Coturnix japonica: one gene and its partner. The protein of the gene in region 2 binds, or shares a complex with, the protein of the main gene of each other region. Links are inferred from orthologs where the notes say so. Each region holds a gene or a part of one and is shown on either strand. Other genes may lie near its edges.

What was found.
Region 1: the proteins of NTRK1 (region 2) and SHC1 are in contact, whole or in part, in an NMR structure (PDB 1SHC), measured with the Homo sapiens proteins. The link is inferred for Coturnix japonica from reciprocal best matches to the Homo sapiens genes NTRK1 and SHC1. Residues at the interface, in NP_002520.2 of Homo sapiens: His489, Ile490, Ile491, Glu492, Asn493, Pro494, Gln495, Tyr496, Phe497; in NP_892113.4 of Homo sapiens: Met176, Arg177, Ala178, Leu179, Ser259, Ile260, Ser261, Phe262, Ala263, Ser264, Gly265, Gly266, Lys279, Asn283, Arg285, Ile301, Ile304, Gly305, Phe308, Glu309, Phe312, Lys313, Gln314, Tyr315.

What each region holds. Positions count from the first base shown.
Region 1 is NC_029540.1:1,438,511-1,441,706, forward strand, and holds the end of SHC1 (SHC-transforming protein 1), read left to right. Parts: intron 1-112; coding exon 113-164; intron 165-306; coding exon 307-433; intron 434-536; coding exon 537-705; intron 706-905; coding exon 906-966; intron 967-1,071; coding exon 1,072-1,239; intron 1,240-1,315; coding exon 1,316-1,578; intron 1,579-1,739; coding exon 1,740-1,868; 3' UTR 1,869-2,615; downstream 2,616-3,196. UniProt on the Homo sapiens protein: Signaling adapter that couples activated growth factor receptors to signaling pathways. Participates in a signaling cascade initiated by activated KIT and KITLG/SCF.
Region 2 is NC_029540.1:688,349-690,953, forward strand, and holds part of NTRK1 (high affinity nerve growth factor receptor), read left to right. Parts: coding exon 1-111; intron 112-238; coding exon 239-568; intron 569-923; coding exon 924-982; intron 983-1,249; coding exon 1,250-1,352; intron 1,353-1,653; coding exon 1,654-1,800; intron 1,801-1,895; coding exon 1,896-2,026; intron 2,027-2,093; coding exon 2,094-2,266; intron 2,267-2,605. UniProt on the Homo sapiens protein: Receptor tyrosine kinase involved in the development and the maturation of the central and peripheral nervous systems through regulation of proliferation, differentiation and survival of sympathetic and nervous neurons.

The sequences.
Region 1 (3,196 bases), about 750 kb from region 2:
GGTTCCCCAACCAGCACATCCTACCCTGTGCTGGGGATCAGAGCCTCTCCTGCCTTCTCCCCTAAGTCTTGGGCACTGAGCAGCCCTGGCTCATCACCACTCTCTCCCACAGGACACAGCTGAGTACGTCGCCTACGTTGCCAAAGACCCCGTCAACCAGAGAGGTGAGGCTGGAATTGCAAGAGCCCCATTTTGGGTGCAGCTCAGAGAGGGATTGGGTCCCTGCAGGGAATCTCTGGGGTGCACAGGGTGGGATCAGGGGGTGTAGGATTTAATCCTGCTCTCATCTCGCTGTTCCCTTCCCAGCCTGCCATATCCTGGAGTGCCCTGAGGGCTTGGCCCAGGATGTGATCAGCACAATTGGACAAGCCTTTGAGCTGCGCTTCAAGCAGTACCTAAAGAACCCCCCGAAGCTGGTGACACCCCACGACAGGTAAGAGAAGGGAGAGATGGGGGTCCATGAGGTCTATTGGTGCTGGGAGGGGATGCAGGCCTGGCTGCTGTCAGCTGTTCAGCTGTGTGTTGTTCCCTTCCAGGATGGCAGGGTTTGATGGTTCAGCCTGGGATGAGGAAGAGGAGGAGCCTGCCCCAGATCACCAGTACTACAACGACTTCCCTGGCAAGGAGCCTCCTATAGGGGGGGTCGTGGACATGCGGCTGCGGGATGGAGCTGCGCAGACCCCCAATCACCTGGGGGCCACACTGGTAAGGCGCTGAGCGTGTCTGCAAGGGGCTGCTGGGGAGGTTCTGCTATATAGGGGAGATGCAAGGACCCCAATGGGGCTGTGGGCTGCACAAAATCCACACCACGCTTCTGTCCAGCACCTCTGGCAGTCCATACTGGGGTTTGGGGAGGGGTAAGAGTACAGCAAGGTCTTTTGGTCTCACCATGTGCCTCTCTACAGCCTGTTGGCCAGACGTCTGGTGGGGAATTTGACCCCAGGAAGCAGCACGGTCCCGCTCAAGGTAATGTGATGGATGTGGCTGGTCCCCATAGGCTTTCCTGGTCCCAAAGTGCTCCAGCAATAAGTGCTGGTGCCGGAGCGCTGCTGACCACAGCGCTTTGTGCAGCAGGAAGAGAGAAATACCCACCTGCAGCGGGTGCGTCCGGCCGTACGGACCTATTTGATGACCCATCTTATGTGAACGTGCAGAACGTGGACAAGACACGCCAAGCAGCAGCTGCAGGCAGCCCTGCAACAGCCAACGGCAGCGCCCAGCGAGACCTCTTCGACATGAGTGAGTGGGGACAGCAGCTGCAGGCTGTGCACTCTGTGCTGGGTGTGTGATGGAGCCCCTTCCTTTTCTCCTGCAGAGCCATTTGAAGATGCCCTTCGTGCCCCCCAGTCTGTGCCCGTGACCGTTCCTCCTGCCCAAGTTGTGGCCTCCATGGAGGAGCAGCTGAGGAGGGAACCGTGGTATCACAGGAAGATGAACCGCAAAGAGGCTGAGAAACTGCTGAAGGTGAATGGAGATTTCCTGGTGAGGGACAGCATCACCACCCCGGGGCAGTACGTGCTGACCGGCCTGCAGGGTGGGCAGCCCAAGCACCTGCTGCTCGTCGACCCCGAAGGAGTGGTGAGTCTCTATAACCCCAAAGCTTGGGGGGCCCTACATCTCCCCACAACCCCACCTTGGGGACACCTCCGGGCTGGCTTAGGGGATGGAGGAGGCCTGGTAAAGCATAGAGGGGACTCCTGGGTGTATCTGCAGCCTCTTGAGTTCCCTATTCCCTGCAGGTCCGGACAAAAGATCATCGTTTTGAGAGCGTCAGCCACCTCATCAGCTACCATATGGACAATCACCTGCCCATCATCTCAGCTGGCAGCGAGATGTGCCTGCAGCAGCCAGTGGAAAGGAGACTGTGAGCTCCAGGGGGGCCTCGGTGCGCACCCCCCCACACCCCCCAGCCCTGCTTCCCACCCTGGGGAGCACCTGGACTCAGCCGGGGCTGAGCGTGGACTGCCTTGGGGATGGTCCTCACCCTCCCACCACCACCACACGAAGCTGGCAGCCCTGGGCTGCAGGCAGCGTGGTGTGAGCTGCCTGTGGGGCCGGGGGGCTGGTAGTGCCAAAGCCCCCTCCTCTCCTCCCAGCTCCAGCCTTTTGCTCAGCTCATACCAAATCCCGGCCCCATACGGTGTCAGCACTGGGGGGCACCAGCCCAGGGCCGGGTTCTGCTCCAGCCTGGTTGGAACTGGGGGTGGCCAGGCTTCATCCCATGAGCAGCACCAGCCCCGAGGGGTTGGGGTGGGGGGGATGGAGTGGGGGGGGCTCACCCAGGGCTGTGCCCTGCGCTCTGCTCCCCAAGCACAAACAAGGCCCGGCCGGCCGCGCACCGAATGTACCCGATCACTTTATGTGTAACTGTGCCTTGACCCCGCAGGTCCCACACATATATGCAATGCAGCCGGGCTGGGGTGGGGGGGCTGCCAGCTCCTTCATGCCCTCCAGGTCCTGCCAAGCCCCTTCTCGGGCACCTCCCTTAAAGCCGGAGCTGGCCGGGTCCCCACTGCATGCACCTCGACCCCCCCCCGAAGCCAAAGCGCAGCCCAGCCCCGGCCCCGCTATAACCAAAGGATCCGGCGGTTCGTATTAAAGTTGGTATTTCTTTACGATGCGGCTGCTGTGTTGGGGAAGGGGCGGGTTGAGAACCTAAGGGGGTGGCGGCCGGGACCCCTCCCCCCTGAGCCCCCTCCCCATGGTTCCTCCCTCCCCCCTGAGCCCCCCTAACGTGGTTTCTTCCTTCCTCCCCCCTGGTCCCGCCTCCCCCTGGTTCCTCCCCCTCGTCCAGAGCCCCCTCCCAAATGGTTTCTCCAGCCTGAGCCCTCCCTGCCCATGGTTTCCTCCCCCCAGAGCCCTCCTCCCTCGGTTCCTCCCCCCCCGACCCCCCCCCGACCCCCTTCATAGGTTCCTCCTACCCCCCTGACCCCGTCCCATTGGTTCCCTCCTCCCCCACCCCCAACTGTGGTTTTCTTTTCCTCCCTCCTCTCCTGAGACAGCCTCCCTATGGTTTTCCTCCCCCCTAAGACACTAACGTGGTTCTTCCCGCCCCCCCCCTCTAAAAGTGGTTTCTTCCTCTCTGCCCCCCGAGGCGCCTCCCATGTTCCTCCTCCACCCCTGAACCCCTCGGTGGGTTCATCCCCCTGAGCCCCTCCCCTGGTCCCTTCCCCCCCCCCGAGCCCCCTCCCATCTG
Region 2 (2,605 bases):
TTGTCCTGGAGATCAACAACATCTCATCTAGCCTGAACCACAAGGACCTCACATGCCGGGCAGAGAATGCAGCGGGGCTGGCAGAGGACAGCGTGATACTGAATGTCACCTGTAAGCAACCCAGGGGATGGGGAGAGAGAGGGAGGATTGGGGGGCCAGGGGTGGTATGAGGGTCAGCTTTGGGGGTCCCACATTTGGGGACGCATGTTTGGGGACACAGGCAGCTCTGTCCCCACAGTCCCACCGGTGATTCTGCTCCTGCACGAGGCCATCGCTCAGCACTTCTGGTGCATCCCCTTCTCAGTGGACAGCAACCCAGCACCCAGCATCTTTTGGCTCTTCAATGGCACGTTTCTGCTTGAGGGGCCCTACATCCATACGCGGATTGTGGAGTATGAGCCCAACTCCACCACGCTGCACGGCTGCCTCCAGCTCAACCGCCCCACACATGTCAACAACGGCAACTACACCCTCGTGGTGCAGAACCCCCTGGGCAGAGCCACCCGCAGCATCCAGGGCCGCTTCATGGATAACCCCTTCAGCTTCAGCCCTGAGGAGCCCATCCCCGGTGGGTCACAGTGGGGCTGAAGGAGATGTGCTGCCCTAATCCTGACACAGGAGGCACCGAAACTTCTATTCCCACCTTGCCAAGGGGTTCTGTCCCCCTCCCGTGCCTCAGTTTCCCCAAGGATTGGGAAGGAAACATGGGACTCTCTTATGGGGGGGAGGTGGTTAATGTGTGCTCTTTCCTTTTTCCATGCTGCACAGTGTCTATATCTCCACTGGGTGAGTGCTGGGGCATGCTGCTACCCCTGCTATTAACCCCCAGCTGTGGTGATGCCCAATGATGAGGCTGCAGTGATTGTGCAGGAGTGAGGATGTGCCCCCACTTCACGCTCACCCTGTGCCCTCTCCCCACACAGGTACCAGGAACAGCTCTTTGGAGGGCCCTATGGAGACAGCGGATGAGCACACATTTGGGGTGAGGACTTGACTGGGATGGGGTGCCCTGTGATTTGGGGTAAGGGGCATGAGGACACCTGTGGGAAAGCAAAGCAGTCCTTAAAGTGAAAGCAAACCAGAGGCAAGGCAAGGTGGGATGGGATGGGGTATAGGCAGCCTCCTGCCCTCCGCTGTGCCTCAGTTTCCCCAGTAGAATTGCAATCACCTCCAGGGCTTGGAGAAGGGTGCTGTCCTTGGCTTTGCAGCAGGACCCCAGCCCCATACTCACCATTCCCTTTGTCCCCAGGTCTCCGTGGCTGTGGCTTTGGCTGTTTTTGCCTCCCTCTTCCTCTCTGTCATGCTCATTGCGCTCAACAAGTGCGGGCGTCGCTCCAAGTTCGGCATTAACCGTGAGTCCCCTCTTCCTGCACCGGGTAGGGGCACAGCCATGGGGCAATGGTCCTCATGGGTCCCCATTGCCTGGCACCCCCTTGGGCACTGGGTGGCAATGGGGCTCCTCCGGGGCCAAGCAGTGCGGGCAGCAGCTGCTAATTCACTCCTGGAATGGATTCAGCCTGCAAATGGGTTTGATCGCACTGACTTCCCCTGGGGCTGGAGGGGGGGGGGATGCTCGGCAGCACCTGGCACTGCTGCACAAAGCACCCCTCACCCCTCTGTGATGGCCCTATTCATGTGCCCCTGTCCCTGCAGGCTCAGCCGTGCTGGCCCAGGAGGATGACCTGGCCATGTCATTGCACTTCATGAACCTGGGCAGCAGCCCCGTGTCCTCCACAGAGAGCAAGCTGGACGGGCTGAAAAGCAACTTCATTGAGAACCCACAGTACTTCTGCAATGCCTGTAAGGCTGGGGATGCATCTGCCTCAGCATCCCCCACTGCTCCCCATTGTCCTCCTGCGGTGGGGGCTCTGGGCTGATGGATGTGGGTCCCCCAGGTGTGCACCACGTACAGCGCCGTGACATTGTGCTCAAGTGGGAGCTGGGCGAGGGAGCCTTTGGGAAAGTCTTTCTGGCTGAGTGTTCCCACCTCCTTCCAGAGCAGGAGAAGACATTGGTGGCTGTGAAGGTGAAGGGGTTGGGGGGGATGAGGGTCCTGGGCTGGTCAGTGCCATGTTAACGCCTTGTGCCTGCAGGCGTTAAAGGAGGTGACCGAGAGCGCACGGCTGGACTTCCAGCGGGAGGCAGAGCTGCTGACCAACCTGCAGCATGAGCACATCGTCAAGTTCTATGGTGTGTGTGGCGAGGGTGACCCACTCATCATGGTCTTTGAGTACATGAAGCATGGAGACCTCAACCACTTCCTCAGGTGGGTCCGGCCCCTCGCCCCCTCCCCTCTCCATCAACGCGGCTCAGACAGCCGCTCTGCGCTCGCTGCTAATGCAGCCCTCCTTGCAATATTGATTAGATTAGCTGTCTGAGAGGCTTAAATAGAGAGAGATTGGCCATCAGCTGGAATAAGCAGAGACTTTTCGATTGGCCCCCCAGGTATTGCTGATAGACGGGGGGGCTGCCAGAGGCATCGCTTTAGTGGCCACGCGATGAGCTCTGAGACGTGGCTTTTATGATTATTGTTATGGGACTTGGCATTAATGGTTCTGCCGAGCAGAGCCCCCTGCTCCCGGTCCAGCCTCCCCAGCCCGGCTGT